2 linked regions of the Schizosaccharomyces pombe genome follow. Changing the gene in region 2 together with the main gene of any one other region gives a genetic interaction. Each region holds a gene or a part of one and is shown on either strand. Other genes may lie near its edges.

Region 1 (5,752 bases), on a different chromosome or scaffold from region 2:
AAAGTGTTGGACACGATGTAATTCCATTGTATGCTGAATGCTTCGATCTACCGTTATATCGAGAGAAAATCGGTGGACAAAGTATCAATCAAAACTTGGATTATCAATTTACAGAAAAGGATGAAACAGAAGACTTATATAGACTCATAAAGCGTGTATTGACAAATCATCCAGATCTCGAAGCCGTTTCTACCGGCGCTATACTTTCCACATATCAACGGACTCGAGTAGAAAATGTTTGCAAACGGTTAGGTTTGAAAAGCTTGTCTTTTCTTTGGCAAAAAGATCAGGAAAAATTACTCAACGATATGGTTGTTTCTGGTTTGAATGCCATCTTGATCAAAGTAGCTGCAATTGGCCTTACGAGGAAGGATTTGGGGAAATCTCTAGCTGAAATGCAAGATAAACTTCTTACCCTAAATAAAAAATTCGAACTGCATCCTTGCGGTGAAGGAGGTGAATACGAAACATTGGTTTTAGATTGCCCATTGTTCAAGAAGCGAATTGTTTTGACTGATAAAGAGGTTGTTGAGCATTCTTCTGGGGAAGTCTGTTATTTGAAAGTTAAGGCCTGTGTTAAAGATAAGCCTGAATGGCAACCTATCTCGCTGAAAAGTGAATTAGTTCCAAATGAAGAATTACTTGGGGAAGAATATTCACATATTTATCATACTATATCTAAAAAATACGAACTTATTGACGATCAAGAGGAGACGCCTACTTCTCTTATCCCAATTCCTCTTCGTGAAAGCGCCTTTCAGCAAAAAAAGGGCTCATTTTTAGTATTGGGTAATGTGGTTGCTACCAAAGGATCTTATAACACGTTTCAAGGTGAAGCTGAATCTGCTATAAACAACTTAAATGGTAAGTTACATATTGATTGTCTTCGTTAATCATATTCTTGATTCGGCTATGCCACCGAACATTTCCTTTAAACCGCTAGAATACTAACTTCCTAGAACTGCTTGGTACATATGGATATTCTAACAAAAATGTTTACTTTGTAACCGTCATTTTATCTTCCATGTCTAAGTTTGCAGAATTTAACTCTGTTTACAATAAATATTTTGATTTCACGAACCCACCTTCCCGGTCTTGCGTCGCAGCTCCTCTAGCTAGTGAGTATAGGATAGTCATGTCCTGTATTGTTGGAGATGTAACCGAGAAAAGAGCGCTTCATGTTCAAGGGCAAAGTTATTGGGCGCCAGCCAACATTGGTCCATATTCGCAGTCGATCTGTGCAAATGGTGTTGTTTTCATTTCTGGACAAATTGGTTTAATACCATCAGTTATGGAGTTAAAACTTCATGACAAAATATTTGAGATGGTACTGGCTCTTCAACACGCAAATCGTGTTGCAAAAGCAATGCGAGTAGGTTCACTCATAGCATGCTTGGCATATGTTTGTGATTCTCGTGATGCGGATTGTGTTGTTAAAATTTGGTCAGAATATACAAAAAATACTGGGGAGTCAAGTCCTGTTTTGGTTGCGTTGGTTGATGCCTTACCAAGGAATGCCTCAGTAGAATGGCAATTGCTTTACAATGATAGCTCTTGTGATGTTCCACTTCTAAGTTCACTCGTTACAAATCAAACGCTTTTTGGTTCTGATACAGCATGGGATGTCGCCTTATTGAACCAAAATGGTTTACGAATGGAGTCCTCCTTTATTCATCATGAACATCCTTCCGCATATGCTATCGTATTGAACAATGCATTTCCAAATTCTCAGTTATTACACGTGCGTTATACAGCTAGAGATCAAAATGTATAACTTAATGTACATAGGAATTAGATTGTAATGAAATGGTCGAACTTAGCTTTTACACAACTTTTTTTACTGTTTTCATATATACAGGCCAAATTAAAACGCTAAAAAGCGTATTTCTTACGCATATATATTCGGTAGTTTGGCAATTTGTATAATATAATTGATGATAACAAGCTGAAGTTTATCAGGTTTTCAACCAATACGATTAAATAAATATTTTCAGGACATTCCTTTTGTTTCAACGCTTAAATTTAACTTTTTCACTGGAAATCTACAATACTTGCTAGCTATGTGTATCTCCTTACTGCGTCAGTATATCTACGTATTTAGTGTCTACCATCCACGCAAAGCAGGAAATAAGCATATATTTATTTCCTGCCATGCAGTGCTATCTCAAACGAAAAGAAAGATCTGTTGCATTTATTACAGAGAAATATGCGGCAATTATTCAAAAACCGTCTGTTAAGGATTCTGATTGCATAATAACATTCACTTGTATCTCACTTGAAGAATTCGAAAAGATAAAGGAATATGAATTACTTTTTGGAGGAGAGAAGATATTGGGAACCCTTGGGTTGTTTAATTATGTATGTGAGGATATGAAAGAAGGCGTTTTCCTATGCGTTGCCCGGAAAGCAAAACTAGTGCTTCGAATTGGTAATAGAGACCCAATTTCGAAACTTGAAAATGTCTCCTTCATCTCTTTAGATCAGGAATTATGGGATGAAGAGTTGTTCGAACCCATGCCTCGTAATAGTTCACCAAGCTCTACTTTTTCGACAAGCACTTCTGACTTGAATAATATTGAAAAAGATAATTTGGTTAATAGCGAATATTCTAGTAAATACTCTTCAACTACTAGGATATATCCATATCATTCCCTTTCTCAATTGACCGATTTGCTCACCGATGGTTCATTTTATGTCTCTACAAATATTTCTTGCTTTTCAAGGTTTCAATCCGAGCAGCCTTATGGTCCCAAAGATATTTATTGTTGGAATAGATTTCTCATAACGGAATTGGATAACCACTTCTCTGAAGCCCATATTTTGGAGAAATTCCCGAACCTGTTGCTCCATTGCTTTCGGGGTTATGTTGAGAGAATGTTCATTGATAGTATGTCTATGAGTATAATCTCCAAGGTATCTAGTTATGGCTCTCGGCAAACATACCCTCCCTCTGGTATTGATGATTCGTCTTATTGTTCTATGTTTGTGGAGACAGAATTTATTGTCGAGATCGCACAAACGGTCTTTAGCTTCGTACAAGTTCGAGGGACAGTCCCATGTTTCTGGGAGGAACAATTCTCTTCTTGGTATGGACCCTCTATTTCTTTTTTGAGATCTTCGCAGGCAAGTCAAAGTCTATTTAATTTTCACTTTAGTAAGCTATACAAAGCTTATGGTGATATATATGTAATCGATCTTTTACAAACAAAAGGCTTTGAAGCTTCGCTATATGAAGCTTACAAGCATCACCTTATGCTTCTACCTTTTCCTGCCGTTGTCAAGAAATTCCACTTTACACCTGATCCTGCTCGTCCTGACATTGATCCACGATTAGAGACCGATTTGGCCGACGATTTAAAAGAGATGGGCTATACTCAAAAGTCTATTGAAAATGACATGTTGGAATCTTTCCAAAAAGGAGTGTTTCGGATTAATGATTTGGATTGTCTGGGACGCACAAACGTTATTCAGTATCAAATATCTCGATTAGTATTAAAGGATATATTTTTTAACCTTCAAATAGGAGTAACTTTCAATATTCTTGAATACCTAAGACATCTCTGGTCTAATAACGGTGATGCTATTGCGAAACTAATTACAGGGGTTGGCTCCATTGGTTCAAGCGCTACCCGTAGAGGTCGTAAATCTATTGCGGGATCTTTAAGTGATATATCCAAATCTTTTGGCCGCATGTATGTTGGAAGATATCCAGACGTAGAATCTCAAAATGCCATTTTATTGCTGTTGGGATGTTTTCCGAATCAAAGTCCCGTACTCATATCTGAATCCGTGTCTTCTTACATCCAAGGTGTGCTAAGACAACGTCGTTCTGAATATAGAGTCGAAAGGGATTTTAGCATATTTTCGTCGACATTTAATGCAAATGGTAAAGTACCCAGCACTGATGAATTTAAAAGGCTGTTACTTCCATTTGGCGAAAGAACTTCCGCTTATGATCTTTACGTTGTAGCGGTTCAAGAGATAATTACCTTGAACATGAGTCATCTTGTTAGTTCAAGCAATCAGAAACTTAGGATTTGGGAAGAGAAAATACTTATGATTCTCAATTCTCGAGATTCTAATAATAAGTATATGTTAATTAGCTCTATTCAAATGGCAGGTGTTTTCCTTGGTGTATTTATACGGAAGGATGATCATCTTGTTGTTTCAAAAGTTACCAAAACAACTCGAAAGACAGGCTTTGGCGGGTTTTCTGCCAATAAGGGTGCCGTTGCAATTGAAATGAATGTTTGCGACTCGGATTTTTGTTTTGTTTCTTCACATTTCGCTCCTAAGGTTAATAATATTTCGGAGCGCAACATGGAGTATACAAGTATATCTGATAACCTTGTTTTTCCATCTGGAATGAAAATTTATGATCATACGTATGTGACGATAAGTATTTAAAAAATCATTACTGACAAACATAGGAACATTTTATGGATGGGTGATTTTAATTATCGTATAGATTCTGATAACGAAGAAGTTCGAAAACTTGTTGAACTGGACGACTTAGACAAGTTGGCTTCATATGATCAGTTATGCACAGAAATGAAGAAAGGCACCGTGTTTCATGGTTTAGTTGAACCACAGTTAACATTTCTTCCTACTTACAAATTTGATAATGGAACCAATGATTATGACACTTCGTACGTTTACCATAAACCAAATCCACACTGTTAACATGGCTATAGAGATAAACAGAGAGTGCCTTCATGGACAGATCGAATCTTGGCCACAAAAAGTGTAAGTTGTAGATATATTTCAATGTAGTGTACCTCTAACCGAAACTTTAGTTTACTAGGAATTGCTATAAATCTTGTGACATTAGATGTTCCGATCATCGTCCTGTATTCGCTACTTTCAGCCTTAAAATATTCAGTACTTGTATGGACAAGAAAGCCGGAATCATAAGAGACGCAAGGATTGCTTATATTAAAAGCAAAAATAGTAATAAATAGTCGTTAACGATTATTTATGATCTACGCCTCCCTTTGCTGAAATTTCGTATTTCCAACTATTTAAAGTGCACATTTAATCTATCTATTTATTTTTAATTTTTGTTTTAAAATAATATATTTTTTTGATGTTTCCTTCGTATTATTAACATATTAAAGAGAGAAAAGCATTCAAACTATATAACCAAAAAACAGGCATAACTTAAAAAAAGGGGTAATAAAAGCAAAAATATGATCGTAAACCCAATCTAAATAAAATCTACAACTAAATCATGAAAAGCCTCGTGAATTGAATAAATTTGGTATTCACAAGGAAGTAATAAATGAACCTGGATTGAATAAATTCTCGCTGACTCTTTCCAAGCACACCTAAGACAAAGTGTAACCGAAGAAAATATTTAATGAAGTTCCATGAAAAATAATAATGGGGGAGGAAGAAATAATATGTTCACAGTTTAACCATGACATGTGATGAGGGGCATATATTTTTATCAATTCAGCTCAATAACAAATTTATCAAAACAACCGAGAAAATTTGCCAGTGTTCTTACTTTGAGATGCAAATAAAGGATGAATCAAAGCTTAAGGATAAACAGATATAGTCTCGTTCACAGCTCCATGCCGAAAAGAGCATGATCGCTACAATTGAGATGTGGGAGAGGCTCAAAACCCACCCAATGTAAGCTTTTTACTAAATAAGGGAGAGAACTGTTATTTTTATCAACGAATAATACCAGCTTCGAGCAGTGAAGCCGATCCACGGCTAAGTCTATGATGGCAACTAATCCTTCTTT
Region 2 (3,724 bases):
AATGATTGTCGTGGTTTTTTTTTAGAATCGATAAATAATACAAACCCATGTTGACGATGAGACAAGAAAAATTCGGAATTAATCTGTTTGAAGTCGATCATTTCGTATGAGCCAATACTATTTAGCCGCAAATTGGCTGAATTGGTGTTCAACAGCTTTCTTTCTTTAAAACTAGAAACTAAAAGTTCTTCTCTTACTCCTTGGTTGTCGCGATTAGCTGTCGGCATTATTAATTTATTGTTGACTTCTTTCTTCTCAACTGTAGCAGAAACAGAGCTCAAAATATTTTCGAACTCTTCTCCTTCTGGTGAATGCACCAAGTTAACTGCTTTACAAAAGGCATGGCGCGTAATCGCGAACAGGAACGCAATATAGAGAATAGATCTCCAAGCACCCAGCTCCATAAATAATTTACGACTGTAAGTCCAATTTGAATAAGTAAATTAAAAGGATTATGAACTTCTCTATCTTCTTAATTCTTTAATTCACCGAGGACCTTTCGAATGCGTGCGTTTGATATAGGTAGTGCGAGGTGTATAATAAGGTAAAATGTATGGTTACTACAACAGCTGATATATCGAAGCAAATATAGCTCGAGTTAACATGGGAAAAGAGCTTTCTTTCTAATTTTTTGAAATAACTTGTTTTAATTTTCTAGTTAATAAATACAGTCAGGAAGCAAATTTGGCAATTATAGTTGGAAAAGATTCTACGACTTAGATAACAGTAGTTCAAATGATGTAAATATTGAGCAGAGAATTTAAATTAGACGATACTTTTTCTCTTTGTTTAGCAATCATATTTTAACTTGAAAGTATAAAGACGTATTCAGGTAGATATAATTAAGACTGGTCAAAATTCATTACACATAACCCAATCATTCATTTTCATAAACTTATGATGTGTAATTTACTTTTAACAAGAGAATCATAGAGATTTTTGCTTAAACTTATGAGCCATAGATTTTAATTCGGAAATTTCCACAGGACCCTTGACACTGGGATCAGAAATAGCCTCCAAAGCAGCCAAAGCAACTTCCTCAGAAGGAAGGGGTTCAGCCGAAGCGGTTCCGAGGAAATTTAAAGCACCAGAGGTTGCTCGATTGATGCTGGATGAGACAGTAAAAAGAGACGCAAGGGCGCCTGTGAAAGGACGATCATTAAAGTTATACATAAAACCAGGACGGAGAAATATAGAACGAAGGTTTGAAATTTTAGATATTTCCCTTTCAGCTTCACGTTTCGTTTTTATGTAGCGGGGATCCAACCCGGGAGCCGCTGCATGAGCAGACACATAGCAATACACAGGGACATTAGCTTTGGCGGCAATCTTAGCTGTTTCAATAGCTAAATCTCGATTGATTGCTTCAAATGTAACTTTATTTTTAGATTGCTTTGCTTCTTCAGGTTTAGGTGCTAAAGGGTTTTGGCCAGTTTTAAACATGTTAGAGCTAAGACTATTGATTAAATGCGAAACTGGTCCTCTGGGATTCTGTAAAATCTTTTTATAGTTATTTTCCATAAGGATACCAACACTGTTCACCACTGCCGAGGCATCACGAAGAACAGGAAGTAATGAATTTGGATCTTTTTGAGCATCCAACGTCTCCCATTCAACATCATCCATCCATGGTTCTTTGTTATGCAATCCTCCAGCTCCTCTTCGGGATACTGAAACCACCTCGTAACCCTTAGCAATGGCTAATTTGCAAATATTATGCCCTAAAAAGCCTGAACCACCTAAAACAACAATTTTCATACTTAAAACGAGGGAGAAAGTAAAAATAAAATTATTTAAAGAATTTAAATCTTCAAATTAGACAATTTGATATAGGCCAGCCCAAATTATTATAAGGATTAGAACCCCAGAATTGTTAATGTAAGCTAACACCTCAAAGTTTCGTGATGCTTATTATTAATCTTAATAATTGAGAAACACAAAAATGCTGTCTCAAAATATTTTTAAAATTTCCTTTTACGAACAATGTTCAAAAAACCCTTTCAACCTGAGTAGTTAGTAAATCGTAGTTGAAGAGAATGAGGTAATGTGCTAGCTCAATAAGGAAGACCAAGAGATGGAAAGAGGTAATTAATTATCTTCTATTAGACTTATTAATTTATAAAAATATGTACATCATTTAATAAGTATGCAAAATAACCATCATTCATAATTGGAGTATTAGTAAAAGTTTGTCTTAAATGAGAGCGCTAAAAAAAATTAAAAATAAAAATGCTTTGATAATTTAGTCTTTAATTTTCTATACTTTATAAGCCATTGATTAATTTCTTAATTATCTTTGGATTTTAAATTCGTAATAATAAGATCTCAAATTCAAATACTTCATAAACCCATTTACAAATATGTTAGATTAATAACAAATTCAATTTTAAGCTAACAATAGAGCTTATGAATCATAATATTTATTCCGATAACCCTGAAGACACAATTTCGAGTTTTATGAAGTGTCTGAGAAGCCAGTTGATTGCTATTCTGTTCATACAGAAAATTTCGTGATTCATAGCAAGAGGAAAGAAAAAATCTCAAATTTTTTTTATTTTTTTTTAATTAATATTATTACATATTTAGTTGATCGATCAAGAAATCGTTGAGCGAAAGTATTAAATTCATATATTCTAAAACAATACACTGTGGTTTAATTTTATAAATTTAAAATAACTGATCGTTACGAGATCTATTAGAATTTTAAGTCTTCTTATTATTGATATCTACACCTTTTTTGTTTTGAAAATATATAAATCTTATTTTTTTTCTTTCATTCTAATCAACATCCTTTTTTTTTTTTTGAAATTGTTTTAAATCAAATGTGTATTTCATTATATTGTGACTGATAAAAATATGTTTGCGAAAGCAACATTTGAACAGATTGAGTAAATAGGCTATGATATAGTAAATCTTTAAATTTAATTTAATTCTCAATACCAAATAAATATTTCTTCAAAAAGGGTTACAAATAAATTAGCTATACTGTGGAGTATATGATATATCGATCCCCCTGATGTAACAAATATAACATATAACAATATGTGTTTAAGTATGAGTATATTCAGAATACATTGGAAATAACGAAAATCCAAATGAAACATTAAGCATAAATTTCTGATTTCTAACTTGCCCTTTTTATTTTATTTTATTCATCATAGTTGTCTACTATTCCAACACAAGTTATGATGTTAATGAGTTGCTAGAATGTTTATTTGCGAGACAGTAGTATAAATATCCTTTCGTAGCTGCTGTACGTTATAACGAACAACTTAACTTTCTTAAATTTTTCTCAATAAATACTTAAATTTACATTGAAGAATATAGCTGAAAATAAATAAACTCACGATGGCAATTTCTCAGCCTCTTTAAGTAGATTTGCTTTTATAGTCACTATGATCTACTGGTTTAGTTCTGTGTGCTGCTTCGTCAAAGTTGTAAGTCTTCGCTTAATTATTAGCGAAACTTTATTTTATCAGATAGGGATAATATCCAAGAAAATTGTACTACCAAGCTGCTTTGAGAAGATAATACAAGTACTGAGATGAGTGTAAAAAAGTGCCAAGGAAAACGAGCTGCGCCCTTTAACTTCATCTGTCTATATTCTAAATGCCACCTTTAAAACAAAAATCTAACTTGTCTTATAATGTAAAAACCCTAAAGCTTCGCACTTATGGTGACACATTTAGTACAAATTCTTTCTATTCCATACGTTCTTTGCTGA

What was found.
Region 1: mutations in coq11 (region 2) and syj2 together harm fitness more than expected from each alone (negative genetic interaction), as found in Schizosaccharomyces pombe (one large-scale study listed by BioGRID).

Annotation. Positions count from the first base shown.
Region 1 is NC_003423.3:773,622-779,373, forward strand, and holds syj2 (inositol-1,4,5-trisphosphate 5-phosphatase 2), read left to right. Parts: upstream 1-2,099; 5' UTR 2,100-2,151; coding exon 2,152-4,385; intron 4,386-4,430; coding exon 4,431-4,649; intron 4,650-4,694; coding exon 4,695-4,746; intron 4,747-4,796; coding exon 4,797-4,961; 3' UTR 4,962-5,100; downstream 5,101-5,752. Other genes in the region: dph6 (endoribonuclease), read left to right, coding at 1-864, 960-1,774.
Region 2 is NC_003421.2:2,273,441-2,277,164, forward strand, and holds coq11 (ubiquinone biosynthesis protein Coq11), read right to left. Parts: upstream 2,030-3,724; 5' UTR 1,759-2,029; coding exon 928-1,758; 3' UTR 727-927; downstream 1-726. Other genes in the region: pdi5 (protein disulfide isomerase), read right to left, coding at 1-404. UniProt on the Schizosaccharomyces pombe protein: Acts in the coenzyme Q biosynthetic pathway.